Anolis sagrei: one gene and its partners. The main gene of each other region encodes a partner of the protein of the gene in region 3 in a complex. Links are inferred from orthologs where the notes say so. Each region holds a gene or a part of one and is shown on either strand. Other genes may lie near its edges. The genes, in order: TCTE1, DRC7, GAS8 and IQCG.

What was found.
Region 1: GAS8 (region 3) and TCTE1 share a complex: the UniProt entries of both Homo sapiens proteins name them as parts of the nexin-dynein regulatory complex. The link is inferred for Anolis sagrei from reciprocal best matches to the Homo sapiens genes DRC4 and DRC5.
Region 2: GAS8 (region 3) and DRC7 share a complex: the UniProt entries of both Homo sapiens proteins name them as parts of the nexin-dynein regulatory complex. The link is inferred for Anolis sagrei from reciprocal best matches to the Homo sapiens genes DRC4 and DRC7.
Region 4: GAS8 (region 3) and IQCG share a complex: the UniProt entries of both Homo sapiens proteins name them as parts of the nexin-dynein regulatory complex. The link is inferred for Anolis sagrei from reciprocal best matches to the Homo sapiens genes DRC4 and DRC9.

Annotation. Positions count from the first base shown.
Region 1 is NC_090021.1:48,122,856-48,130,147, reverse strand, and holds the start of TCTE1 (dynein regulatory complex subunit 5), read right to left. Parts: upstream 3,007-7,292; 5' UTR 2,740-3,006; intron 1-2,739. UniProt on the Homo sapiens protein: Component of the nexin-dynein regulatory complex (N-DRC) a key regulator of ciliary/flagellar motility which maintains the alignment and integrity of the distal axoneme and regulates microtubule sliding in motile axonemes.
Region 2 is NC_090028.1:5,375,172-5,382,790, reverse strand, and holds the start of DRC7 (dynein regulatory complex subunit 7), read right to left. Parts: upstream 3,010-7,619; 5' UTR 2,975-3,009; coding exon 2,820-2,974; intron 1-2,819. UniProt on the Homo sapiens protein: Component of the nexin-dynein regulatory complex (N-DRC) a key regulator of ciliary/flagellar motility which maintains the alignment and integrity of the distal axoneme and regulates microtubule sliding in motile axonemes.
Region 3 is NC_090028.1:28,333,311-28,341,248, reverse strand, and holds the start of GAS8 (dynein regulatory complex subunit 4), read right to left. Parts: upstream 3,001-7,938; 5' UTR 2,917-3,000; coding exon 2,914-2,916; intron 1-2,913. UniProt on the Homo sapiens protein: Component of the nexin-dynein regulatory complex (N-DRC), a key regulator of ciliary/flagellar motility which maintains the alignment and integrity of the distal axoneme and regulates microtubule sliding in motile axonemes.
Region 4 is NC_090023.1:267,626,621-267,633,948, reverse strand, and holds the start of IQCG (dynein regulatory complex protein 9), read right to left. Parts: upstream 3,005-7,328; 5' UTR 2,984-3,004; coding exon 2,949-2,983; intron 1-2,948. UniProt on the Homo sapiens protein: Component of the nexin-dynein regulatory complex (N-DRC), a key regulator of ciliary/flagellar motility which maintains the alignment and integrity of the distal axoneme and regulates microtubule sliding in motile axonemes.

The DNA of each region.
Region 1 (7,292 bases), on a different chromosome or scaffold from region 3:
GGCACATATAGTTTCCTAACATTATGCATTAATGACCATGCTGAAATGCTGTTAGGAGAGTGAGAAAATAATAATATATTCCACCTATTTCAGACCCCAGTAATCTACACTACAAAGTGACTGTTAGAAAAAATTCAGTGCCAAATATATAACTGATTCCCCAATCTAAATTATTCACATATATTTGTGAACGGGCCAGATAATGAATCCTAAAACTAGAAAAGAAAAAAGCGTTGTATTTTTTTCCCATTTGTGTCGGGACAGACTCCTAAAGCATTTAGCTCATTGGTTTCATTTGTTAGTTGCTTTTCAACATTCAGAACTTTAGTTAAATTGTCATGCTTTCAGAAATCTGCTGATAAGAAATGCACTAAAGGTTGGATATCCTTTATCAGAAATGCTTGGGACCACAATTGTTTTGGATTTTGGAATACCTGTATGCAGGGCCGTAGCCAGAAAAAAATTTCGGGAGGGGTTGAAATTTTCACGGGGGGGGGGGGGGGGTTGAAATTTTCACGGGGGGGGTTTTCAAATTTTCACGGGGAGGGGTGAAATTTTCAGGGGGGGGGGTTGACATTTTTGCAAGGGGGGTTTCAAATTTTCGTGCGGGGGGGGGGGTTGCAACCTGCCTCCTAGCTCACGCTGAAGCAAAGAATACAGCAGGGGCCAGAGCAGCCTTCAATAGCCTGCAGCTCCGTCCCTGTCAACCATCTCCACCAAGTCTGGCCTCCTTAATGAGAGCATTCAACACACAAACCACAATTTGGTTGCTTCACTACATCGGCTATTGCTGCAAGTAATGACAGTGTGAATAAATTGTCAATATTTGCTTGAGATAGTTCTGGAGGGACTCTTAATTTTTTGTATTTCATAGACTTAGCAATGGGATTTGGTTAACCAGTTAAAATTCATGAGTAAACCAGGTTTTTAAAAAAATCTGAAACATTTGGGGGGGGGATTGAACCCCTAAACCGCCCCCCTCGCTACAGGCCTGCCTGTATGTACATAATGAGTTATCTTGGAGATGAGTCCCAAGTCTTATCAGAAAATTCATCTATGTTTCATGCACACCATATACACATAGCCTGAAGGCAATTTTATGCAATATAAAAAACAATGCCCATGAAACAAAGTTTGGACAGTAAACCATTAGAAAGCAAAAAAAAAAAAAAAAAAAAAATGTCACTACCTTAGCCACCCATGAGGACAATTTTGGAGTTTTGCAGATTATGTGTGCTCAAATTATATTGCTTTCACATTCTTTAGGCCCCATCTACAATGCCTTATAATGCAGTTTGAAACTGCATTATAGAATTTGTATAGACCCATATAATGCATTTAAACGGTATTATATAAGTCTTCTCTACATTCCTCTACAATATGCTATAGTTTCAAAGTGTAGATAGGGCCTAGGAATGAATATAACCATATTTTCTAATGGGAGCAAGATAGTTTAGGGAGAATAGTTATTTCACATCAGTTTTCAAGTGAGTTGTAATATACAGAAACAAACACAATCTCAGTAGCATACTCACATAGATTTCCATTAAAAGAGAGTGTACTAATATACAATCAAGAAGCTGCAACAACATATATAAATCACAACTGAAATGGAGAGATGAATATCATGTTTCTTAACAGCAACATTTACTGATTTTTAAAAAAGAAAACTGAAAATGAAAAGTTGGCCTAAACTGAAGTGTTTAAGGATAAATAGGCTCCTCAAAAAGAAAAGGTTCAAGACTATACAAAATATAGCTCAGAAAAAAACCACAGTATGTGGAAGCATTACCTAATTTATTGCTGCCTACAGAGACAAAGGGCCCCCTGGTGATGCAGTGGATTAAACTATTGAGCTGTGGAACTTACTGACTGAAAGGTTGGCGGTTTGAATCCGGGGAGCAGGGTGAGCTCCCTGCCTCTGTCAACCTAACAGTCTGAAAACATATAAATATGAGTAGCTCAATAGGTACTGCTTCTGCGGGAAGGCAACAGCACTCCATGCAGTCGTGTCAGCCACATGACCTTGGAGGAATCTACGGACAACGCTGGCTCTTAGGCTTAGAAATGGAGATGAGCACCACTCTCTGGAGTCTGACATGACTAGACTTAATGTCCAGGGAAACCTTTACCTTTACTTTACCAGAGAAATAGATAATCTAATAGTCTGCGGACTCAGTGTGAGAAAACTTGCTGCTGGTTTACCTGGCTGATCATGAAAACCTAACTGCATTCTGCAGTTATTGCAGGCACACTTCAGTTAGCAAAGTAGATGTGATCCACAGACATTACTTCTTTAGCAGAAAATTTAGTTCCGGGGGCAGAAATAAAATGGAAAAAAATGAATTTCTATTTCACAAAAAAACCCCCCAAAAAACAACACTCTTCATTTCGGGGTTTGTAGATCAGTGGGGCCCAGGACCTCGCTGGCCGGGCATTTTAAAGGCCCCTCTCTAAACTACAAGCTTCTGCAGGAGACAGCCACAGGATTTACATTAATGTAATTTGACCCCAGTATGGCTCAATGCTAAGGGATCATGGGAGTTTTAGTTTGGTCAATCATCAGTACGCTACAGCTCCCGTAATTCTATAGCAATGTGTCATTTATTTATTTATTTATTTACAGCTTTTATATTCCACCCTTCTCACCCTGCAGGGGACTCAGGGCAGATTACAGTGTACACATATATGGCAAACATGCAATGCCAATTTTTGACATACAAACATATACAGACATACAGAGGCTATTTAACTTTTTCTGGCCGCCAGGGGAGCTGTCGCTTTCATCGTCCATCTGCGACGCTGATGAAGCACCTCCGCATTCCTGCATGCTTCCCCGCTGGAATGCTTTGCTGGAGTCTTCTTTATGGCCTCATAAATCAGTTAATTTAGCCTCCCCAACTGTCTTTCAGGTTGCAAAGGTCGACAACAGGCTACACACAATTGGTTGGAAACCCACTCATGACCTTTTGGTCAGAGTGATCTTAATGCAGCTGACACTCAGCCAGCTGCGCCATAATCCCGGTTATGGCTGTTAAGACGGCCTAAACTGCATCCATTACAGTATAGATCAGGCATGGGCAAACTTGGGCCCTCCGTGTGTTTTGGACTTCAACTCCCAGCATTCCTAACAGCCCCAGCCCCTTTCCTTTCTCCCACTCAGCTGAAGCAGCTGTGGTGGGAAAGGTCCTTGAGGTCCTTCTCTGAATTCTATTGCATCCTCCACTCTTTCCCTGTAGGGACCCAAGACTCGACATTTCACTGGCCTGAACGTCCCAGGCCCCTCTTTCCTGGTCCCCCCCACCCTCGAAACAGGTGTCCCCTCAGGTTTCATTCGCCCACCTGGCAGTCTAGGCCGCAGAGCAGTCCGTTGCTAAGGAAACGAGAAGCGTTGCCAAGGGCGGGGCTTCACAGCGTAGACCACACCCCTTAGAGGCACGAGCCGAGGGTGATGTCCAATCAGCAGGCGGGAGCCGCCCATTGCTTTTTTTTCAGAAATGGGCGGGAGGAACCGCCTGGGGGCGGAGCTTACGGCAAGGTGTGTGCGATAGCTTGGAAGCAGGAATTTCTGGATGAGATGAAACCAAGCCCCGCCCCTTTCCCTTGAGAGCGCCTCCTGATTGGCTATTCTGTTGGCACCCTGAGTGTTGTTTTTTCCTAAGAAGGAGACATCATCTTCTTGATGTGGCTGTTAAATGCAGGTTGAGGATGCATCTACACTGTAGCATAAACGCAGTTCAACAGCACTTTAACTGGCAGGGCTCAAATGCAATGAAATAATGGGGGTTGTAGATCTACAAGGTCTTAAAGGGGTGTCAAACTGCATTAATTCTACAGTGTAGATGCACCCAGAGTCTCCTTTATCCCAAATGTTTGGGTTCCACAATGGGAGAGTGATCAACAGTCTAACAAGCAATGAGTAATGAATGTGCTGGATGACTTGTCTTTGCCTCCTCCTCAACTTTCCATTTGGAAGGACATTCTGTGTCGATTAAATATAAACACTGAGAATGTGATGCCTTGATTGACTGCCAATGAGCTTTATGACCTGAGTGGAACCCATCTGCTTGGTTGTTTGCACTTTTTATTGTTAATGGGTTTATAGGTAGGTAAAGGTTTTCCCCTGACATTAAGTCTAGTCATGTCCGACTCTGGGGGTTGGTGCTCATCCCCATTTCTAACCCAAAAAGCTGGTGTTTTCCATAGACACCTCCAAGGTCATGTGGCTAGTATGACTGCAAGGAGTGCCATTACCTTCCCGCCGGAGCGGTACCTATTGATTTACTTATATTTGCATGTTTTCGAACTCCTAGGTTGGCAGAAGCTGGGGCTGACAGCGGGGGCTCATGCTGCTCCCCGGATTCAAACCTGCAACCTTTCAGTCAACAAGTTCAGCAGTTCAGTGCTTTAACCTATTGTGCCACCAGGTTTATATTCATCTCTCTCTCTCTCTCTCTCTCTCTCTCTATATATATATATATATATATGCAAATGGGCTATCCCTCCCCAGACTCTTTAATAGAGCATGGCCTGTGATCACGAAAGTAATACAGTTATATAATCATAATAATGTATATCATATCCTGCCTGTGAGAGCCGTTCAGCTGTGGAACTCTCTGCCCTGGAGTGTGGTGGAGGCTCCTTCTTTGGAAACTTTTAAACAGGCTGGATGCAAATGTGAGTAGATTAATAGGCACTGCTCTGGCGGGAAGGTAATAGCTCTCCATTCAGTCATGCTGGCCACATCACCTTGGAGGTGTCTATGGACAACGCCTGCTCTTCGGCTTAGACATAGAGATGAGCACCAACCCCCAGAGTCAGACACTCCTGGACTTAATGTTAAGGGAAAACCTTTACTAATGCTTTCCTTACTATAAAAATCAAATACTGAAATAGTAGATAAAAGAAGTAGGAAAATAATGTTTATTTCCTCAGCTAATCTTAATTTCTACCAGTGATATGAACAGGGTTCAGTAAGATCATTAGGGAAGTAGTGGTAACAACTGCAATAATTGAACAACCTCTTGTATAAAATATTGTTATAAAGTTCATTTTTGCAATGAGTGGCTAGGTACTTCTAAGTACTCTTTGTTTGTAGAACAGTATTTCAAGAGCAATGCAAATGCCATAAGACATTCTCCAGTGAAGCAGAGCAATTGAAAGGTACAGTAGGTCATATGTCTTGCTTAATCTCTTTGACAGGCTCTCCTTTAAGCAAAATAACAACATAAGTAACAGTCAGAAATGCAACTTAGATAAAGAGATAGGATACATTGATGCAGTGTACCATACCTCCATTAAGAAACACCAATTCTCTGAAGCTTTTGTGGAAAGGGAAACAGCAGGCAGGGCAGCAAAGCAGTCATTTTGACACGGGAAATATTGATATGTAGGTCATATCTATACTGACAACTTAGGTCACTTTGGAGTTGGTTTGGCAGAAATTGGTTTCATTGTGCAGGTGATCTATTCGACTTGACAAGAACAGGATTAAGACCAGGAAGGTGATTGATTACATTGACAGATGGAAGGTGGCCTTAAACTGGTTCCACATCCACAGTGCCATGCCCCTAAATATCCTGTGAGATGCCCACTAGAGATGTGGAGACATATGTGCCCGGGGGGGTGGGGGGTGAAGTAATAATTACTAGTGGAGAATAGGTCAAGAATAGGGCTCCACAGCCACCTATGGATCCACAACAATACTGATCATGGAAGACTATCCTACTTGTCCAACAAGGGATCGCATAAGTACTAAGTAGTAGTGGAGATAATTAATCACCAGTCCCAAAGGATCATGTAGTCCCTTGCTGCACAGCTATGCCCTTGGGGTGTTTTTCGACAGCCACCCTATCCTTCCCAAATGGTAAAATGCACTTTAGTGCAGGCAGGTGTCTACAATGTGCTTTGTATTTTAGGGAGCTATTTTGCCATATTATATATTTAATGTTTAATAAATAATATTTAATATTAGGGGCTCATTAAAGCACATTTTAGGGTTTAACTTTCCTGCAACTTTGTTTGGTACTTCATCACACTAGAGAATGAATCCACTTTAAATCCGGTTGCTGCCTCTTGCAGAATTCTGGAGTTTGTAATTTAGGGAGGAACCTTTTACAGCCCCACTAAACTACAAACCCCAGAATTCTGCAAGAGGCAGAAAGTGGATTAATTCTCTAGTGTGATGAAGTAGAGAATTAAACCCTTTAAGTCATGCTGCGGCATGTTTTGGCTGCATACATTTTGTAGCTGCCACAGTTTGAAGTTGGATTCAAGCTGCCTTAAGTGATTGTTGTAGATGTGCCCCATGTCAAACCTAGGGCCCTTTAACACAGCCATATAACCCAGAATATCAAGGCAGAAAATCCCACAATATCTGTTTTGAACTGGGTTAGTCCACACTGCCATATATTCCTGTTCAAAGCAGATAATGTGGGATTTTATTCAGCTGTGTGGAAGGGGCCAAAGTCTTTCCCCTTTTCCCCTGCTATCACATTTAATAAAGGATATTCCTAGTTATCTGTGGATATCAAACAGGGAGGAGGGAAGGAAAGCATGTGTTTTGCATGACTGCAAGGATCATGCAGAGGTGCACCTTTTTCAGGTCGAATTGGGTTTTGAGTGTACCTTTTTAACATGTGCTTTTAACCTCTTAACTCGATCCTTCCTGCACTTTGGCTAAATGTTGTTTAGCCACACACACCTACTTTTAATTCTGTTACTTCTGGGTTTTGCAGCATGTGTAGAAGTACCCTCAGAAACAACCTGCAAAAACCCATGGCTTTAGAGGTCAATTGTTTATCTCTGTATAATTTTTGCTAAAATTCCATTTCTAAATTAATATTTCTGATGCTATTTGATAGACATGAACATGTGTGAACACATTATCTCACTCAAATGCCGTGTGTTTAAACACAAATAATATTTTGTTGTTGTAAATTGTTCAGGCTATATGGCCATGTTCTAGAAGCATTCTCTCCTAACGTTTCGCCTGCATCTATGACAAGCATCCTCAGAGGTTGTGAGGTCAGACCTCACAACCTCTGAGGATGCTTGCCATAGATGCAGGCGAAACGTCAGGAGAGAATGCTTCTAGAACATGGCCATATAGCCCAAAAAACCTACAACAACCCAGTGATTCCAGCCATGAAAGCCTTCGACAATACACAAATAATATTAACATAATAAATTGGCAGATCCTTTCATGGCCTACAGCATACCATTAAAAATAGGCTTGTGTGATTTTATTCCTAGTTTTTAGTAGCGTATCATTAGAAAAAGAGAAATAGACT
Region 2 (7,619 bases), about 23 Mb from region 3:
GGGGTTGGTGGGCATTGACCTTGAGTTTGGGAGTTGTAGTTCACCTATATCCAGAGAGCACTGTGGACTTAAGTAATGATGGATCTGGACAAAACTTGGCAAGAAAACTCAATATGTCCAAATGTGAATAATGAAGTTTGAGAAAAATAGACCTTGACATTTGGGAGTTGTAGTTGCTGGGATTTATAGTTCACCTACAATCAAAGGGCATCTTGAACTCCATCAATGATGGAATTGAACCAATCTTGGCACACAGAACTCCCATGACCAACAGAAAATACTGGAAGGGTTTGGTGGGCAGTGACCTTGAGTTGGAGAGTTGTAGTTCATCTACATCCAGAGAGCACTTTGGACTCAAACAATGATGGATCTGGACCAAACTTGGCACAAATACTCAATATGCCCAAATGTGAATATTGGTGGATTTTGGGGGAAATAGACCTTGAGATTTGGGTGTTGTTGCTGCTGGGAGTTATAGTTCACCTACAATAAAACAACAAATAAAAAGTGAAAGAAGGAAGGAGGGAGAGAGGGAAGGAAGAAGAGAAGGGATAAAAAGAGAGAAAGAGGGAGGGAAGTAAAGAAAGAAAGAAAAAAAGAAAAAAGGAAAGAGAGAAGGTAGGATGGAACCAAAGAGCAAAGGAAGGGAGGAAAGAAACAGGTAGAGAAGGAAGAAAGAAGGGAAAGAGGAAAGAAAAGAAAAAGAGGGAAGGAAGGAAGGAAGGAAGGAAGGAGAAAAGGAGGGAAGGAAAGCAGAAAAGAAGGAATGAATGAATGAAGGAAGGAAGGAAGGAAGGAAGGAGAGAAGGAAATAAAAGTGAAAGAAAGAAGGAAGGAGAGAAGGGATAAAAAGAGAGAAAGAGGGAGGGAAGGAAAGAAGGAAAGAAAGAAAGAAAGAAAGAAAGAAAGAAAGAAAGATGGAACCAAAGAGCAAAGGAAGGGAGGAAAGAAACAGGTAGAGAAGGAAGAAAGAAGAAGGGAAAGAGGAAGGGAAAGAAAAAGAGGGAAGGAAGGAAGGAAGGAAGGAAGGAAGGAAGGAAGGAAGGAGAAAAGGAGGGAGAGAAGGAGGGAAGGAAAGAAGAAAAGAAGGAAGGAAGGAAGGAAGGAAGGAAGGAGAGAAGGAAATAAAAAATGAAAGAAGGAAGGAGGAAGAGAGGGAAGGAAGGAGAGAAGGAACAAAAGAGAGAAAGAGGGAGAGAAGGAAGGAAAGAGAGAAGGTAGGATGGAACCAAAGAGCAAAGGAAGGGAGGAAAGAAACAGGTAGAGAAGGAAGAAAGAAGAAGGGAAAGAGGAAGGGAAAGAAAAAGAGGGAAGGAAGGAAGGAAGGAAGGAAGGAAGGAAGGAAGGAAGGAAGGAGAAAAGGAGGGAGAGAAGGAGGGAAGGAAAGAAGAAAAGAAGGAAGGAAGGAAGGAAGGAAGGAAGGAAGGAAGGAGAGAAGGAAATAAAAAGTGAAAGAAGGAAGGAGGGAGAGAGGGAAGGAAGGAGAGAAGGAACAAAAGAGAGAAAGAGGGAGAGAAGGAAGGAAAGAGAGAAGGTAGGATGGAACCAAAGAGCAAAGGAAAGGAGGAAAGAAACAGGTAGAGAAGGAAGAAAGAAGAAGGGAAAGAGGAAGGGAAAGAAAAAGAGGGAAGGAAGGAAGGAAGGAAGGAAGGAAGGAAGGAAGGAAGGAGAAAAGGAGGGAGAGAAGGAGGGAAGGAAAGAAGAAAAGAAGGAAGGAAGGAAGGAAGGAAGGAAGGGAAGGAAGGAAGGAGAGAAGGAAATAAAAAGTGAAAGAAGGAAGGAGGGAGAGAGGGAAGGAAGGAGAGAAGGAACAAAAGAGAGAAAGAGGGAGAGAAGGAAGGAAAGAGAGAAGGTAGGATGGAACCAAAGAGCAAAGGAAGGGAGGAAAGAAACAGGTAGAGAAGGAAGAAAGAAGAAGGGAAAGAGGAAGGGAAAGAAAAAGAGGGAAGGAAGGAAGGAAGGAAGGAAGGAAGGAAGGAAGGAAGGAAGGAGAAAAGGAGGGAGAGAAGGAGGGAAGGAAAGAAGAAAAGAAGGAAGGAAGGAAGGAAGGAAGGAGAGAAGGAAATAAAAAGTGAAAGAAGGAAGGAGGGAGAGAGGGAAGGAAGGAGAGAAGGAACAAAAGAGAGAAAGAGGGAGAGAAGGAAGGAAAGAGAGAAGGTAGGATGGAACCAAAGAGCAAAGGAAGGGAGGAAAGAAACAGGTAGAGAAGGAAGAAAGAAGAAGGGAAAGAGGAAGGGAAAGAAAAAGAGGGAAGGAAGGAAGGAAGGAAGGAAGGAAGGAAGGAAGGAAGGAAGGAAGGAGAAAAGGAGGGAGAGAAGGAGGGAAGGAAAGAAGAAAAGAAGGAAGGAAGGAAGGAAGGAAGGAGAGAAGAAAATAAAAAGTGAAAGAAGGAAGGAGGGAGAGAGGGAAGGAAGGAGAGAAGGAACAAAAGAGAGAAAGAGGGAGAGAAGGAAGGAAAGAGAGAAGGTAGGATGGAACCAAAGAGCAAAGGAAGGGAGGAAAGAAACAGGTAGAGAAGGAAGGAAGAAGAAGGGAAAGAGGAAGGAAAAGAAAAAGAGGGAAGGAAGGAAGGAAGGAAGGAAGGAGAGAAAGAGGGAGGGAAGGTTAGTCACAGCAACGCGTGGTGGGTGCAGCTAGTTTAACATAGTTTCTGCCACAGAAACAAAGTTTCTGGAGTAGAACAACTACTTTCAAAGTAAGGACCACACCATTAAACAGGAAATAATGCTTTCAAAGCAGGAACAGAAACTTTTTCGAATACAGTTACATAATGCAATCCTCCCTCCTTTTCCTCCCTTTCTCCTCTCCTTCCTCCTTACTATAAAACTTCAGGGATATGGACTTGGATCTGGGAGAGCTGCTCCTCCAAGTCTTGGACTTCATCGCTGAGATTGAAAGAACTCAGCTCATCGTCTTCCTCCTCCTCCTCCTCTTCTTCTCCTTGGAGTCCGTAGCTTTCTTCGCTTGTATCCATTTCGCTGCCGGTCCTTTGCAAAACCTAGGGAGCGAAAGCCTGTAGGAATCAAAGGAAGGGTTCTCTTGTCATATATTTGAATATTTTGATGTTTTAAGGATGCAACAGGTTTATTTATTTTTTGTCGTATCAGAAGCAAATTAAGAACACGGCTATAATGTATAGAAAAAAACATAAACTTGACATTATACTAATTTTCCTTCAAGGAACTGTCTTCAAAGGTATTTTCTCCTGACATTTCACCTGCATCTATGGCAAGCATCCTCAGTTATTGAGGTCTGTTGGAAGTAGGAAAATGGGTTTATATATCTGTGGAATGACCAGGGTGGGACAAAGGACTGTTGTCTGCTGGAGCTAGGTGTGAATGCTTCAACTGACCACCTTGATTAGCACCTGATGAACCAACCTGATACTGTAAATCATCACCTCTTCCTGAGAAAAAAAAGTATTATATCGCAAAGGATTACCACTTCACCTGCTTCATAGGAAACCTGCTACAAAACAGGAGCTTTTTTGTTGAGTCCCAGGGCCAGAGAAGCAGATGGCGGAAACAGGAGAACGGCCTGCCTCAGGGGAGCGTGCTTGCTCCATCCATGTTCAACATCTACACAAATGACCAGCCACTGCCAGAAGGGACGGAGAGCTTCATCTATGCTGACGATCGTGCCATCACTGCTCTAGCAGAGAGCTTTGAAATCCCACACACAAACATTACATTTTTATTTATACTAGCCGTCCACTGCCACACGTTGCTGTGGCCCAGTCTGTGTACATTTGTTTTGTGTGTTTGCATTATGTGTATATTTGTGTGTGTTATACACACAAATATACAAAGTTGAAGTACTTTGGCCACATCATGAGGAGACAGCAAAGCCTAGAGAAGACTATTATGCTGGGGAAAGTGGAAGGCAAAAGGAAGAGGGGCCGACCAAGGGCAAGATGGATGGGTGGCATCCTTGAAGTGACTGGACTGACCTTGAAGGAGCTGGGGGTGGTGACGGCCGACAGGGAGCTCTGGCGTGGGCTGGTCCATAAGGTCACGAAGAGTCTGAGACGACTGAACGAATTAACAACAATATACACATATGTGCTATGTGTATATCAGTGTGTATATATTTGTATAGATAGGTGTGTTTGCGCATATATATATATATATATATATATATATTAGGCTTGGGTAACCACGGAAAAATTTGGTTCTAAACTCGTTTTGCTTTTAGGGGGCCCTTGCGTTTCGTTTTTTTTTTAATAATTCCAAAATTTTCCTTTTAAAAATTTCGAAATATACGAAGTTTTGTATAATTACGAATCGATTCGTTAATTGCGGACGCAACTGCACAATATGCTAAAAAAACCTCCAAATGGGACAGGGGGAACTTCTGAAGCTTCCCTCTCCCTCTGTTGTTGACTGTTGGTGTGATAAAACAAACAACAACTATAAAACTTGCACCAGACATGTGAAAATAATTACGAAATAATTACGAAATAATTACGAAATAATTACAAAATAATTACAAAATAATTACGAAATAAATTGAAAAAATTGTTTCGAATCTAATTTACTCCTCACACTATTTCTGCATGGCTCAATATCAGATCGTAAGCTAATTTAAATACAAATTAATAACTAATTACGAAATTAATGAACGAAACCGCCCAAGCCTAATGTGCATATGAGTGTGTATATATTTGTATAGATGTGTATATAGGTGTGTTTGCATATATATATATATATATATTTGTGTGCATTTGTTGTAATGTATTTTTTTTTTTGCTTTTTAAGTCTCTTCCGCTGTGTTTTTCAGTGTTTTTATGAGTGATGGTCACTCGTTGGCCTGAGAGGTGTCTTGTGTCCGAATCTGGTGTCAATTCGTCCAGTGTGTTTTGTTTTTTTTAGTTATGTTAATTCCACAAATGAACATTAAGGAGAATTGGGTCACAAAATATTATGTGTGTTTACGTGTGTGTGTGGTTTTGCACAAGCATTGTAACGTATTTTGTATTTCTTTAAGTCTCTTCCACTGTGTTTTTCATAAAATTCATTGTCAGGATATATATATATATATATATATATATATATATATATATATTCATTCTCTATCCTGCCCCTTGATATCTCCCACATCATAATCTCTTCCAGTGTTCCTGTTGGAGAGGCCATTCAGGAACGTCAACAAACACTGAGAAGCAGGACAGAAAGGAAGGAAGGGCTGGAGGTTGTGTTTCATCAGGTCAAGCTGCCCTTCGATGTTGTTGTTTTTTTGTGCTGGGAGATAACAAGGCAAGAATAGGGCCTCTAGCACATCCTTTATCTCAGTTGATTTAGGAGGAAAATATGACAATTATGCACCAAGGTTAAGCTGGTAGCCTGCAAGGGCTTCCTTGGGCAATGGAGACCTTCCTGAGAAAGACAGAAAATAGCCATCTGGATGTCCCTTCTCTAGTTGGGCAAAGGATGCCACCCAGAATTGGCCATGGAGAGGGCAAATGGGCAAGTCTTCTCTTATATTCACACTCAGAACAGACTGAATGCCCAAGAGTCCTTTTCTCTTCTTCCTTCCTTCCTTCCTCCCTTTCTTTCCCTCCTTCCTTTCGTGCAATCCTTTCCTTTTCCTTTTCCTCCGTCCCTCCCACTCTCCCTTCCTTCTTTCCTTCCTTCCTTCCTTCCTTCCTTCCTTCCTTCCTTCCTTCCTTCCTTCCTCATCCCTCCATCTCCATTTCTTCTTCTTCTTCCTTCCTTCCTTCCTTCCTTCCTTCGTTTTTCATCTCTCCATCTCCTCCCTTTCTCCTTCCTTTTTATATCTTCATCTCCATCTCCTCCTTCTCCTTCCTTTCTTTTTCATTTCTCCATCTCATTTTCCTTCATTGGTTTTTTTTCATTTCTCCATCTCCTTCCTTCCTTCCTTCCTCATCCCTCCATCTCCATCTCTTCTTCTTCCTTGCTTGCTTCCTTCCTTCATTTTTCATCTCTCCATCTCCTCCCTTTCTCCTTCCTTTTTATATCTCCATCTCCTCCTTCTTCCTTTCTTTTTCATTTCTCCATCTCATTCTCCTTCCTTGGTTTTTTTTTCATTTCTCCATCTCCTTCCTTTCTTCCTTTTTCATCCCTCCATCTCCATTTCATTTTCTTTCCCTTCCTTCCTTCCTTCCTTCCTTCCTTCCTTCCTTCCTTCCTCATCTCTCCATCTCCCCTTCTCCTTCCTTCTCCATTTCTCCATCTCCTTCCTCTCTTCCTTTTTTATCCCTTGATCGCCATCTTATTTTCTTGTCCTTCTTTCATTTCTCCATCTCCACCCTTTCTCCTCCCTTTTTATATCTCCATCTCCATCTCCACCCTTTCTTTTTCATCTCTTTATCTCCTCCTCCTCCTTTCTTCCTTTTTCATCTCTCCATCTCCCCTTCTCCTTCCATCTCAATTTCTCCATCTCCTTCCTTTCTTCCTTTTTCATCCCTCCATCTCCACCTCATTTTCTTGTCCTTCCTTCCTTCCTTCCTTCCTTCCTTCCTTCCTTCCTTCCTCATCTCTCTATCTCCACCCTTTCTCCTTCCTTTTTACATCTTCATTTCCATCTCTTCCTTCGCCTTCCTTTCTTTTTCATCTCTCCATCTCCTCCTCTTCCTTCCTTCCTTCCTTCCTTCCTTCCATCCTTCCTTCTTTCTTTCCTTCCTTCCTTCCTTCCTTCCTTCCTTCCTTCCTTCTTCATCTCTCCATCTCCCCTTCTCCTTCCATCTCCATTTCTCCATCTCCTTCCTTTCTCCCTTTTTCATCCCTCCATCTCCACCTCATTTTCTTGTTCTTCCTTCCTTCTTCATCTCTTCATCTCCACCCTTTCTCCTTCCTTTTTACATCTTCATTTCCATCTCTTCCTTCTCCTTCCTTTCTTTTTCATCTCTCCATCTCCTCCTCTTCCTTCCTTCCTTCCTTCTTCATCTCTCCCCTTCTCCTTCCATCTCCATTTCTCCATCTCCTTCCTTTCCTCCTTTTTCATCCCTCCATCTCCATCTCATTTTCTTGTCCTTCCTTCCTTCCTTCCTTCCTTCCTTCCTTCCTTCCTTCCTTTTTCATCTCTCCATCTCCACCCTTTCTCCTTCCTTTTTACATCTTCATTTCCATCTCCTCCTTCTCCTTCCAAAATTTGATTACTAGAGGTAGTTGGAAGGAGCTTCCTTTCTGGGAGTTGTAGTTCACTCACAACCAGAGAAACTGTGACCTCAACCAATGATGGACCTGGACCACATTTAGCACCCAGAACCCCATGACTAACCCAACCTACTGGAGGGGTTTGAGGGGAATGACTCACCATAGTGGGAGTTGTAGTTTACCCTGCAGCCGGAGAGTACACTGAATGATGCATCCAGATGATGCATCCAGAACAAGCTTTAAGAACGGATGGAGTTTCTCAGGGTTAACCTGACACGATGTGAGTTCTAGTTCCCCCACAACTTTATGCATTTGAGACAATTAAGAAAATTGACTTTTTCAAATAACCCAGGCAACCAAGCTAGTAATATAATATAATATAATATAATATAATATAATATAATATAATATAATATAATACTATAATATGTGCTGGAGAGCTCCTAAGGATCCAACATAGTAGTTATTCCCAAATTTCAAAAATCACATTTGCTTTTGGGAATA
Region 3 (7,938 bases):
TGGAGGAGGATGCACCATGGACGATGGGATTTGGAGTACCTTCAACTGCTTTGGCTTCCACAGACCTCCAATGACGGACCCGGACCAAACTTGGGATACAGACTCCCTGGGCCCTTCAAGACAGGCCCTATAACCCAGAAGCATTCTCTCCTGACATTTCATCCACATCTATGGCAGTTATATAACCTGGATTATATGAGTCCTCACTGCCAGATAAGCAGAAAACCTGAGATTGGATCCTGTAATATAGGGCCTGTCTGGAAGGGCCCCCCATGACCCATTTTACAGCCTGATGAAGTTTGGGGAGGATGGACCATGGATGATGGGATTTGCAGTACCTTCACCCGCATCCAGAGACTACCGCAAACCCCATCAGCCATGGATCTGGACCAAACTTGGCACACAGATACCCGATGACCCACTTTAAGTCTTTGTGGTGCTTTTTGGGGGAAGGACCTGGATGATGGGAGTTGCAGTTCCTTCACCTACATCCAGAGGCTGCTGCAGACCCCATCAGCCATGGACCTGGACTAATTTTGGCAAAGAGACCTCCTCATGAGACTTTATGTCCTGCTGAGGTTTGGGGGAGATGGTCCATGGACAATGGGATTTGCAGTTCCTTTACCCTCATCCAAAGAGTACTGCTAACCCCATCCAAAGACAACTGATAACTCCGTTAACCTGCTAATTTCTAATTGGTCCATTTATAACATCCAAAAACAAACCATGTCTTTTTCAAGTAACTCAGGTACCCAAGCTAGTAAGAGATAAAAATCAACAGACAATGAGTATGAGTTCATAGAATTGTTCCTGTAGTTGTGTGTTCAGTCTGTGTACATTAGTGTAGGTATGTTTTGGGGTAGTGTGCAATTTTTTTTTTTAGATTTAGTCTGCAATATTAAAAAATAGTAACAATAACAAAATAATAATAATAATACATTGTACCTGTTACCTACCTCTCCCAATGGCTTGAGGCAGGGTACAACACAGTCAAAACACATTAATGAGTGTAAGCTTCACAGAATTGTTCCTGTAGTTGCTTGTTTAGTATATGTACAGATGTATCTGTTGGGTTAGTGCAGGCATGCGCAAACTTTGACCCTCCAGGTGTTTTGGACTTCAACTCCCACAATTCCTAACAGCCTACCGCTGTTAGAATTGTGGGAGTTGAAGTACAAAACACCTTTAGGGCCAAAGTTTGCCCACACCTGGATTAGTGTGCGAATATTTTTAGATTTAGCCTGCAAGATTTAAAATAATAAAATAACAATAATAAAAAGTCAAAATACATCAACAAAAACGCATACAACAAAATACATATATCAAAATCCGCCAAAACATATGGTATAAGGACCAAGATACAATGGCAAGAGAATGCAAACCCCAAAATTCATGGTCCAAAGTTGACTAGGTTGCCGGAAAAGGGTTTTTTTTCCCATGTCAGGAGCAAGTTGAGAAACTGCAAGTCGCTTTTAGTGTAAGAATTGGCTGCCTGCAAGGACATTACCCAGGGGACGCCTGGATGTTTGGTGGGAGGCATCCTTGTGGGAGGCATCTCTCATGTCCCCGCATGGGGAGCTGGAGCTGACAGAGGGAGCTCAACCCGCTCTTCCCAGATTTGAACCGTTGACCTCTTGGTCAGCAGTCCTGCCAGCACAGGGGTTTAACCCATTGCGCTATCAGGAGCTCCATCCACCAGAAAAGATGGGATGTCATAAGAATGATAATAATAAATATTATTATTTTATTACCCGCCTCTCCTTGCAGTTACAACACTGTTAAAAACAAATTGGGATATTATATAATACTAATAGTATATTGTACTGGTAGTGTATGATATACATTGTGGTTTGATAATATAGTACAATATAATAATATACAATAATATGATAAGTGTATAGTATATATTACATATAATATTAGTAGCAATATTGCAGTATAATGTGTTATTATTTTTGATGTAGATGTGGATTTGTTTTTGGGATTTGGGGAGTTGGTTAGTTTTGTCTTTATTCAGCTTCTCATGGCATTGAACGTTTGCCGATATCTGTTGTAAACCACTCTGAGTCCCCTCGGGGAGATAGGGAAGGATATAAATAAAGCTTTATTATTATTATTATATTCTTTTTTCTTTTCTTTTTAGGCAGCAGTTCCCAGAATCCATCAAGTCCATCTTTGTTGTATTATATCTCTTTGGATGACAAATCCCAAAACTGTTTGTCTACACTGAAAAATTAATGCGGTTTAACCCCACTTGAAAGGCCACAGTTCAGTGCTATGGTTCCTGGGAGTCATAGACCCCTTCTACGCTGCCATATAAAATCCAGATTATCTTATTTGAACTGGATTATATGGCAACATAGATTTATATAATCCAGTTCAAAGCAGATAATGTGGATTGCCTGCTTTGATCATCTGGATTCTATGGCAGTGTAGATACATAAAATCCAGTTCAAAAGAGATTATGTGGATTGTCTGCTTTGATAATCTGGATTCTATGGGAGTGTAGCTGCATATAATCCAATTCAAAGCAGGTATTGTGGATTGTCTGCTTTGATAATCTAGATTCTATGGCAGTGTAGATTCATACAATCCAGTTCAAAGCAAATAATGTGGATTTTCTGCTTTGATAATCTGGATTCTATGGCAGTGTAGAAAGGGTCGAAGTTTCACAAGGCCTTCTCTGCCCAAAGATTGCAAACTACAACTCCAATGACTCCATAGCATGGAGCTAAAGACGCTGAAGTGGAATCAATCCGCATTAATTTGACAGTGTGGCTTCCCCTGTTCTCTCAACCCTCAAACCACGACATAGCCACTCTCTCAGCTACTAAGGTGGGCCATATACACAACCTACATCATCATCATCATCATCATCATCACAACTCTCTCCCTCCCACTGGACAGACTCACCATGGTGACGGCTTCAGTGTCTCTCTAGAAGACTAGGCCCAGAGTCTTCTGGTTGCCAAGCAACCGTAGCCCAAATCTCGCGAGAGCCTCGGCTCCGCCCTTGGCCAAGAAGCCGCGCCCCTAGCAACGAGGCCCCGCCCCTAGTTACAGGGAGAAGGAGGGTGTTTTTTTTCACCCTTTGGCTCTTCATCTGATACCAATTGGCTCCTACAATGGACACAAGCTTTGATTCATGCCCAAAAAACTATTTAAAATATTATATGCAGAATTTCCTTATATTATAATAATGATATTATTGTTTTACATAAGATAATATTATTCTATATAATATTATAATATATATTATTATGGTATTGTATATTATTACATATAATAATATTACATTTTGGATATAATCCATTAAAATATAAGCATGCTCATAATATATTATAATACTTTATAAGTATGATTATATTTTAACTGATTTCATATATTATATATATTATATTATTATATATTATAATATATAATAGCATACATAATAATATATAATGTAGTCATAGAATCATAGAATCAAAGAGTTGGAAGAGACCTCATGGGCCATCCAGTCCAACCCCTTTCTACCAAGAAGCAGGAATATTGCATTCAAATCACCCCTGACAGATGGCCATCCAGCCTCTGTTTAAAAGCTTCCAAAGAAGGAGCCTCCACCACACTCCGGGGCAGAGAGTTCCACTGCTGAACGGCTCTCACAGTCAGGAAGTTCTTCCTCATGTTCAGGTGGAATCTCCTCTCTTGTAGTTTGAAGCCATTGTTTTGCGTCCTAGTCTCCAGGGAAGCAGAAAACAAGCTTGCTCCCTCCTCCCTGTGGCTTCCTCTCACGTATTTATACATGGCTATCATATCCCCTCTCAGCCTTCTCTTCTTCAGGCTAAACATGCCCAGCTCCTTAAGCCGCTCCTCATAGGGCTTGTTCTCCAGATCTTTTATCATTTTAGTCGCTCTCCCCTGGACACATTCCAGCTTGTCAATATCTCTCTTCAATTGTGGGCCCAGAATTGGACACAATATTCCAGGTGTGGTCTAACCAAAGCGGAATAGAGGGGTAGCATGACTTCCCTAGATCTAGACACTATGCTCCTATTGATGCAGGCCAAAATCCCATTGGCTTTTTTTGCCGCCACATCACATTGTTGGCTCATGTTTAACTTGTTGTCCACGAGGACTCCAAGATCTTTTTCACACGTATTGCTCTCAAGCCAGGCATCATCCCCCATTCTGTATCTTTGCATTTCGTTTTTCCTGCCAAAGTGGAGTATCTTTCTAATTTATGCAGTAATGTAGTTTTTTTTTACTAATTTATGCAATGCTTTTGATACGAAATAAACAAAAAATAATATCATATATAATAACAATATATTATATATCTAATAATTTTATATTATTATATATTATAATATCACATAATATATGTAATCAATTGTAATAAAGTATTATAAAGTATGAAACAACTGCATTTCATAGTGAGCACCTTGGTCTCCCTACAGATGTCCCAATCCTGAAACACTCTCTGCTTCATTTGGAAAAATGCTGCACTTGCAGAGCTCAGGTGGTGTTGTATTTCAGGGTCAGTGTTGACTTTTGTGGAGAGGTGGCGGCCAAGGTAATGTTACACCATTAAGCTGTATTTCTGGCATTGCAGAGGGATTGGCAGGTAACTGCTGGAAGAGCACTTTGGTTTTCTCGATGTTCAATGAAGAAATCCAACACTTTGCAGATATCCATGATGTTGTTGTTGTTCATTCGTTCAGTCGTCTCTGACGCTTCGTGACCTCAAGGACCAGCCCACACCAGAGCTCCCTGTTGGCCATCACTGCCCCCAGCTCCTTCAAGGTCAGTCCAGTCACTTCAAGGATGCCATCCATCCATCTTGCCCTTGGTCGGCCCCTCTTCCTTTTGCCTTCCACTTTCCCCAGCATAATTGTCTTCTCCAGGCTTTGCTGTCTCCTCATGATGTGACCAAAGTACTTCAACTTTGTCTCTAGTCTCCTTCCCTCCAGTGAGCAGCCGGGCTTTATTTCCTGGAGGATGGACTGGTTGGATCTTCTCGCAGTCCAAGGCACTCTCAGAACTTTCCTCCAGCACCTCAGTTCAAAAGCATCTATCTTCCTTCGCCCAGCCTTCCCTAAAGTCCAGCTCTCACATCCGTAGGTTACTACAGGGAATACCATGGCTTTGACTAGGCGGATCTTTGTTGCCAGTCTGATGTCTCTACTCTTCACTATTTTATCGAGACTGGACATTGCTCTCCTCCCAAGAAGTAAGCGTCTTCTGATTTCCTGGCCACAGTCTGCATCTGCAGTTATCTTTGCACCTAGAAATACAAAGTCTGTCACGGCCTCCACGATTTCTTCCTCTATTTTCCAGTTGTCAATCATTCTTGTTGCCATAATCTTGGTTTTTTTGACGTTTAGCTGCAACCCAGCTTATGCGCTTTCTTCTTTCACCTTGATTAGAAGGCTCCTCAGCTCCTCCTCGCTTTCGGCCATCAGAGTGGTGTCATCTGCATATCTGAGGTTGTTAATGTTTCTTCCAGCAATTTTCACCCCAGCTTTGCATTCATCAAGCCCCGCACATTGCATGATGTGTTCTGCATACATTGCATGATGTGTTCTGCAAAAAGATTGGGTGAGAGTATGCAGCCTGGCCGTACGCCTTTCCCAATCTTGAACCAGTCTGTTGTTCCGTGGTCAGTTCTTACTGTTGCTACTTGGTCCTTGTACAGATTCCTTGTACAGATATCCATGATGCTCAGGGATTTTTTTAAAGCCACAAAGGTAATTACAGACCAAGAAATCATGGCATACACCCTCCTACACTCATCAGATGGAACCAAACTTCTGAAGGACAAAAAATCAATTGCACTACGTTAGAAAGAGCACTACCACAACCTCCTGATTTGTTCTCTCACAAATCCCACAACAACTAACCAGGGATGAGCTTGCAGCCCTGCCTGGTTTGGAGGAAGTCAGCAACGTCCAGCCAACAAAAACATAACATAGCCAGTGGACCTGATGGGATCCCTGCTGAGATCTTTAAAGAGGGTGTACCTGAGCTAATACAACAAATCCACCAGTTCATTGAAAACATGTGGATGACTAAGAAAATCCAAGAAGACTTCAAGGATGTCACCATCATCACCCTTTTCAAAAAAGGGGAAACAACAGATGCATCTCCCTTCTGACCTCCAGTGGGAAAATCCTTGCAAGAATCTTTGGAAACCACCTTTTACCTGGGAAGACACCCTACCAGAATCTCAGAATGGCTTCCGACCCTCCAGAGGAACAGTAGACATGATCTTCACTGGACGACAGCTCCAAGAAAATTATTATATAATATATAATATTATAATATTTACTTAGTTATGCAATCCCTTGTAGCCCGAGGATGATGGTCCTTCTAGTGTAGTGTCTTGGTGGTGGGTCTATAGGTGGCTTTGGAGACCTATTCTTGTTTGCATGTTCTCCTGCAGTGAGGACATTGGTTTCCAGGCAGAAGGTGGTCCCAGTCTGGGTTGGCTTGACATGCCTTACTCTTGTCACCTTTCTCCCTTTCGCCCTCCATTCGTGCCTTTGAATTCTGCAGCACTGCTGGTCACAGCTGATCTCCAGTTAGAGTGCTCAATAATGATTATAATTATATAATATATAATTATATATATAATATATATATTTATAATATATGTAATAAAGTACAATAAATGACTATGTTCTAGAAGCATTATCTCCTGATGTTTCGCCTCCATCTATGGCAAGCATTTTCAGAGGTTGTGAGGTCTCACAAACTCTGAGGATGCTTGCAATAGATGCAGGCAAAACGTCAGGAGAGAATGCCTCTAGAACATGGCCACATAGCCTAAAAAAACCTACAACAACCCAGCAAAGATACATATTTCAAAATCCTCCAAAGTCCCAAATGTGAACAGAAATAAACATATTAAAAACATTTCAGATGAAAGAGCCTCAACCTACACTATACTGAAAATTTAGTTGTGAGAAAAAACCTAATTGTACAGAATGGAGTCATTTTTTTAAATGTTGAGGCAAACCAAATTCCTATAATACCAGCATTAAAATACATTATTAAAAGGCAATATTTTTAATCTATTTTATATTAATCCCATTTTTTATCTTCATAAAGGGACTCATTTGAGACCTATAAAACCAGGGCAAAACAAAACAGTCAAAATAACAACAATGGTACACAACAGTGGGCCCCATGTCAGTGAAATGGGGAATCCAGTCCCAGTTTTACCTCATACCTTCAAGGAGCTTTCCAAGGTCCTGAGCCTCTAGCAGCCATTCAGCACCTTAGAAGACTCCTTTGAAGTCCAAAGTAAAACCCGGAGTGGATTTCTTTCCTATTGGCTTTGTAAAATATACAAATAGAGTCTCCTTGTGGAGAGAAAAAGTGAGGTATAATAATAATAATAATAATTATAATTATAATTATAATTATAATTATAATTATTATTATTGGAAGTTTTGGAACACAATGCACCAGACATCACGATTGTGGAAAAGAAAAAAGTTTGGATGATTGATGTCGCCATACCAGGTGACAGTCGCATTGAGGAAAAACAACAGGAAAAATGCAGCCGCTATCAGGACCTCAAAATCGAACTGCAAAGCCTCTGGCATCAACCAGTACAGGTGGTCCCAATGGTCATTGGTGCACTGAGTGCCATGGCAAAAGACGTCAGCCAGCATTTGGAAACAATAAACATTGACAAAATCTCTCTGTCAACTGCAAAAGGCCACCTGACTTGGATCTGCACACATCATTCGAAAATACATCACACAGTCCTAGACGCTTGGGAAGTGTTCAACTTGTGATTTTGTGATACGAAATCCAGCATAGAGATCTCGTTTGCTGTGACATACTGTGTATTTGTGTCAGTAAAATAATAATAATAATATAAATATACAAATAGGAGTTTCCTTGTGGGGAGAAAAAGTGAGGTATAAATAATAATAATAATAATAA
Region 4 (7,328 bases), on a different chromosome or scaffold from region 3:
CCTACAAGCCACTCTATACACCTTCACAGAAGCATATGAGAAGCTCAGCCTGTCATTGAACATCAAGAAAACCAAAGTGCTCTTCCAGCAGTCAGCAGCCAACCCCTCTCCAATGCCAGAAATACAGCTTAATAGTGTAACATTAGAAAATGTTGACCATTTCCGCTACTTTGGCAGTCACCTCTCCACAAAAGTCAGCATTGACACTGAAATACAATACTGCCTGAGCTCTGCGAGTGCAGCTTTTTTCCAAATGAAGCAGAGAGTGTTTGAGGACCGGGACATCCATAGGGAGACCAAGGTGCTTGTTTATAAAGCTATTGTCCTCCCAACCCTGCTATATGCCTGCGAAACGTGGACTGTCTACAGACGTCACATGCAACTCCTGGAACGATTCCATCAGCGCTGCCTTCAGAAAATCCTGCAAATCTCTTGGGAAGACAAGCGGACAAACGTCAGTGTTCTGGAAGAAGCAAAGACCACCAGCATTGAAGCGATGTTCCTCTGCCATCAACTCCGCTGGACCGGTCACGTTGTAGGTTCTTACCTACAAAGCCCTAAACGGTTTGAGACCCGCCTACCTGCATGACCGCATTTCTGTGTACGAACCCACATTATCTCTTCGATCATCTAGAGAAGCCCTACTCGCGCTCCCACCTCCTTCGCAGGCACGATTGGCAGGGACGAGGGAGAAGGCCTTCTCTATGGTGGCCCCCCGACTCTAGAACTCTCTACCTAAAGATATCAGACAAGCCCCCACATTGGCAGTCTTTAGGAGGGGCCCCAAAATGTGGTTGTTCCAGTGTGCCTTCCCAGAATAAGGAAAACTCTCAGCAATATGCCCTCAAAATGCACTTTACCACTGATTTAGGACTGACTGCGTTCCCTCATCTCTCTTTGAAAACCCTATACCAGTTATATCCTACCTTATTCATGCTCAGCGTTATTTTTTTAAATTTTAAACTATTACATTTGGCCCGGCCATAGGTTTTTAAATTCTTGTGTGTTACTGTTTATTGTTTATGTGATTTATATTAATTGTATTGTATTGATTGTTTTTGTTATTGCTTTTGTTTATTGATGTACTGTTGGGCTTGGCCTCATGTAAGCTGCACCGAGTCCCTTGGGGAGATGGTAGCGGGGTATAAATAAAGTATTATTATTATTATTATTATTATTATGCCCGACCACTGTCTGCCAAAGCAGTTGCTCTACTCCGGACTCAAGAACGGAAAATTGAATGTTGGAAGACAGGAAAAGAGATTTAAAGATTGGCTCAAAGCCAACCTCAAAAACTCTGGCATAGACACTGAGAACTGGGAAGTCCTGGCCCTTGAGCGCTCCAGCTGAAGGTCAGCTGTGACCAGCAGTACTGCAGAATTTGGTTTTCTTTTTTTTATCATAGTTATTACATTTGTTATGCGTTTGGTTATAGCAGTTACATATTATTCAACACACTCTTTAACATATAATCTTATTATTCTACTTAAGCATTTTCCCCCTTTGTTTCCCACCACTGTGCTCCCCTCCCCCCATATCAAGCCACAACTTTTACATATCGTCTGTCCAAAATTTCAATTCTTCTTGTGACGGTAACTTTCCTTCTTTGTTTTTTAAACCATTTACTACAAATTTTCCCCATACAACATCAAAATCACTTTGTTTCCATATACCTTTTTGAACTTTTAATATACATGTCAATTTATCATTTATTGCTATTTTCCATGCTTCCTTATACCACTCCTCTATTTGTATATTCATTTCTTTTTTCCAATTCCTTGCTATGAGCAGTCTTGCTATAGTTAATAAGTTTGTTATCGTTTCTTTATCCTCCTTTTTCCATTGTGTATTGTTATATAATAAAGCTATACTAGGGCTTTTCTCAATTTTAATGTTCATTATATCTTCTATTTCTCTAAATACTTTCCCCCAAAAATTATTTACATATTTACATTGCCACCACATATGTATATATATTCCTGGTTCTTGACATCCTCTCCAACAATTTTTTGAATTATTTTTATTTATATATGCTAATCTTACTGGTGTCAGATACCACTTCCATATTAACTTATAATAATTTTCTTTAACACGTATTGATAATTTTTTTAATGTCTTTGTCTCCATAATTGTTGCCACTCTGTTTCGTTTATTTTTATTTATTTTAAAATAAACAAATAAATAAAGTATTATTATTATTATTATGCCCGACCACCGTCTCCAAAGCAGTTACTCTACTCCGAACTCAAGAACGGAAAATTGAATGTTGGAAGACATGAAAAGAGATTGAAAAATGGACAAAGCTTTCTACAGGAGCTCTTGGTATTATGTCCTGTGCGAAAACCTTCTCTGTGTGGACTGTACCCAAACTGGCTCCTATTCCCTCCAAAAACCCAAAGGGGGCGGGACCAGGGAACCTAACTATAATTGACTGGTGGCTTGCCCTATGATTGCAGCCAAAAGAAGCCACCTATCTGCAGAGTCCCTGAAACTTAGGACTACAAACATTCAATGCAAAGCAAACAAAATTGGAGCTCCTGGTACAGCTGTACCTGCACAGGCATAGACACTGAGAACTGGGAAGTCCTGGCCCTTGAGCGCTCCAGCTGGAGGTCAGCTGTGACCAGCAGTGCTGCAGAATTTGAAGAGGCACAAATGGAAGGTGAAAGAGAGAAGACAATCCTACTTGGACAATGAGGGATTGCCTAAGTAAGTAAAGATAGATAGATAGATAGATGGATAATTTGTTCTTCCCTTTTCCTGAGGCCTAACTTTAGTGAAGGCCTTGAGGCCTCCTCTCTTGGGATAGTTTCCATCTTAATATTCACTGCATTCCCTCTTTTTGTGTTTGGAATTTCTGCTGCTTTCTCCCAAATGTTTCCTGAATGCTTTTCCTGTGTGAAAAACCCTCTCAACTCAATAGAACCGTTCTGAAGGGACTCACTCACCAAGAGGTATCACTTGCACAGCTTGACGTCGCCATGGTTACCACTCACTTCCTGTGGGGCCCTCACATTAGCAAAAGGCTGTCTATATAAAAGCCTGACATTTTTTAAAAATCGTTAAATTACAGAGGATGAAATAAAAGCTCGATATTGGAAATCAAACACCCAAATCGAAGTTTTAAATTCCACTTTTTAAAATACCCCCCAAAATGTTGTGATATTTCAGTCAGGCGAATAGCGTAACCACCTATCTCTAAACAAGGAAGGGGTCCTGGCGATTTTGTCCCCCTATCCCGGCTTGCACCGCGGCGCCGCTCTCTCTTTCTGCCGCCATCTTGGGCCGGTGCTGCTGAGGTGAGGAAGGGGGGCGCGCGTTTCGTGGGGAGGAATCCGTGGAAACCGCGGGGAAAGCGGCTCCCGAGTGGGGTCGGCGGGTGAAGCGAGGTCTGAGGAGTGGAAGGAGCCGGGGATGGCGGCGGAAGGCGGTGGGATGCCGTGGATGGAGGCCGGATGCTGCGGCCTGGCCTAGTTTCGTTTCTACGCCTTAGCTGGCTGATTCCATGGGACGAAGGGAAGGAAGGAAGGCCTGTATTGTCGAAGGCTTTCATGGCTGGAATCACTAGGTTCTTGTGGTTTTTTTCGGGCTATGTGGCCATGTCCTAGAGGCATTCTCTCCTGACGTTTCGCCTGCATCTATGGCAAGCATCCTCAGAGATAGTGTGGTCTGTTGGAAGTAGGAAAAGGGGTTTATATATCTGTGGAATGACCAGGGTGGGACAAAAGACACATCAACACTGACAAAGAAACAACAAGAAATACTGTTTATCCACAAGCATAAAGAAATTACATATATTAGAAACCAACACTTTCTCATTACTTTATTTTCCAGATCAACAGACTGGGCCACAGCAATGCGTGGCAGGGAACAGCTAGTAATATATAATATTGTGCTTTACTTATATATATATATATATATATATATATATATATATATCACATATGTGTGTGTGTGTATATATATATATATATATATATATATATATATATATATACACACACACACACACACTAGTCGTCACCTGCCAAGCGTTGCAGTGGCCCACATGAGGGTTCTGTATGGGAGGTTTGGCCCAATTCTATCAGTGGCGTTCAGAATGCTCTGTGATTGTAGGTGAACTATAAATCCCAGCAACTACAACTCCCAGATGTCAAGATTCTATTTCCCCCAAACTCCACCAGTGTTCACATTTGGGCATATTGAGTGTTCGTGTAGAGTTTGGTCCAGATCCATCATTGTTTGAGTCCACAGTGATCTCTGGATGTAGGTGAACTACAACTCCAAAACCAAAGGACACTGCCCACCAAACCCTTCCAGTATTTTCTGTTGGTCATGGGAGAAATGTGTGCCAAGTTTGGTTCAATTCCATCGTTGGTGGGGTTATGAATGCTCTTTGTTTGTAGGTGAACTATACATCCCAGCAACTACAACTCCCAAATGACAAACTCATTTTTTTTTAGTGATGGTCACTCCTTGGGTTAGTAGGTGTCTTGTGGCCAAATTTGGTTGCAATTCCCCCAGTGGTTTTTGAGTTCTGTTAATCCCACAAACGAACATTGCATTTTTATTTATATAGATTGCAGTATAGTGCTATGCTACAATATAGAAATATATAATACTAATAGTGTGTTATGCTAATTTAGTATATTGTATATACATGTAATATTGATAATAATATTATAATGTAATGCAATATAGTGCTAATCATAATACAATATAATAATATTGAAATAGTGATGCTACTATAATAAATATAATTACTTATTTACAATATATATCCATCTATATAAATAAAAATGTAATGTTCATTTGTGGGATTAACATCACTCAAAAACCACTGGGTAAATTGACACCAAATTGGACACAATACACGTATCAGGCCAAGAAGTAACCATCACTCATGAAAATACTGAAAAACACAGCAAAAAAGACATAAAAAGCAAAAAAACCAAACCAAAACATTAGAACACATGCGCAAAACCACATATATACACAAAAATAAAAATATATACACACACAAAACACAAATACAGAGACTGGACCACAGCAACGCGCGGCAGGGGACGGCTAGTATATATATATATAAACCTGTGGGATAAATGTCCAAGGTGGAAGAAAGAACCCTTGTTTGCTTAACACAAATGTGAATGTTGCAATTAGCAAGCTTGAATAGCATTGAGTAGCCACTAAGCTGTAAAGTCAATGGTAAGGTATCTGCATAGAGCAGTGGTTCCCAACCTTTGGGCTCCAGGTGTTTTGGACCAGCTGTTAGGAACTGTGGGAGCTAAAGTTCAAAATTCCTGGAGGCCCAAAGGCTAGGAACCACTGGCATAGAGGGAGCCTGCTCTTTGTTGCCTGGAGACATCCTCTGGGGGGTGTTAATTGGCTCTTGATTGTTTGCTATCTGGAGTTCTGTTTCTGAGTGGTGTTCCTTATTTACTATCCTAATTCTGGTGTTTTTTTTTAATACTGTTAACCACCTCTAAGCAGATAACTTCACAGATTGATACTGCAGGTGAAAGGCTACTCAATTCTTACTAATTGCAACATTCACAGACAAGTGTTCTTCCTCCCGCCATGGACATTCTGCAGATAGATAGACTTGCTTCATTGCCAACAGAACCTCTGAAGATGCCAGCCACAGAAGCAGGAGAGAAATCAACTGGAACATGGCCACACAGTCCAAAAAACTCACAGCAATCCATTGATTCTGGGCATGAAAGCCTTCAACAACACAATAGTACACTTTATTTATACTCTCTGCCTTGGCTCGAGGCAGGATACAACATAGAATGGGCGTAGGCAAACTTCGGCCCTCCCTCCATATATTTTGTAAACCGCCCTGAGTCTTTCCGGGGAGAGAGGGCAGTCTAGAAATAAGGAATTATTATTATTATTATTATTATTGGTCCTCAACTCCCACAATTCCTAAAAGCCTAATGGAGGTGAAGTCGAAAACACCTGGAGGACTGAAGTTTGCCCATTCCTGAATAAAATCAAGACAAACTAACATATTTATTTATTTATCGTGTCAGAGGCAGACCAAACAGTTGCATTGCATTTTTTAACAAACAAACAAAACTCAAAGTTTGCAAGCTTGGTAGTTGATTAAATGTCCTTTGAACCAGTATCTGACCACTTGGAGTGCCTCTGGTGTTGCCACAAGAAGGTCCTCCATTGTGCATGTGGCAGGGCTCAGGTTGCATTGCAGCAGGTGGACAGTGGTTTGCTCTTCACCACACTCGCATGTTGTGGATTCCACTTTGTAGCTCCATTTCTTAAGGTTGACTTTGCATCTTGTGGAGCGCAGTCTGTTCAGTGCCTTCCAAGTCACCCAGTCTTCTGTGTGCCCAGGAGGGACTCTCTCATTTGGTATCAGCCATTGGTTGAGGTTCTGGGTTTGAGCCTGCCACTTTTGGACTCTCGCTTGCTGAGGTGTTCCAGCAAGTGTCTCTGTAGATCTTAGAAAACTATTTCTTGATTTAAGTCGATGAAAAACTAACATAAAATACACAGATAAAAACACTATAATTAAGAACATACATGGGGTATAGAAATCAACATATAGTGACAATGCAATGCAAATTAAAAACTTGTGATTCAGGTTTGATTGGGTAGGCCTGCCTGAAGAGAAGAATCTTTAATTTTGTTTTTAAATTCTGCCATAATAGAAATGGAACCGAAGTCTAAACAAGAAATTCACTGCTGGCTGCATCTTCACTGTAGAATTAATGTGATTTGATGCCACTTTCACTTCCCTGGCTCAATGCTATGGAATCCTCAGAGTTGTCGTTTTACAAGGTCTGCCAAGGAAGACTGCTTCCTAACAAAACTACAACTCCCAGGATTCCATAACATTGAGCCAGTTAAAGGGATTTCAAACTGCATTAATTCTATATTATAAATGCACCCTTAAATAGTCCCAATTAATCCTTTATCATCCCGCTTTGTTTGCTGTTGCTAAAACATTCTAGTTCTTCTCTCCTCCTTTGTCCTCAACTTACTTCAGTTGCAAATTGCCACTGAATGGCAAAAAGAGAAGATACAAAAACATGTCCTTCATCATTTATTTTTTTATTTATTTATTTGCAACATTTATATGCTGCCCTTCTCACCCCGAAGGGGACTCAGAGTAGCTTACAAGATACATATACATACAATATATCATATTGGGGATGAGAGACAGGGCCATCTCAGTGGTGGCCCCTCCATTCTAACATTCCGCAAAATGGTTAAGACCTGGATCTTCAAGCAAGCTTTTTCTACTAGAGCATAACTAGACGTAAATGAATATATGGAATGACTGACGATGCAACTGGACAATG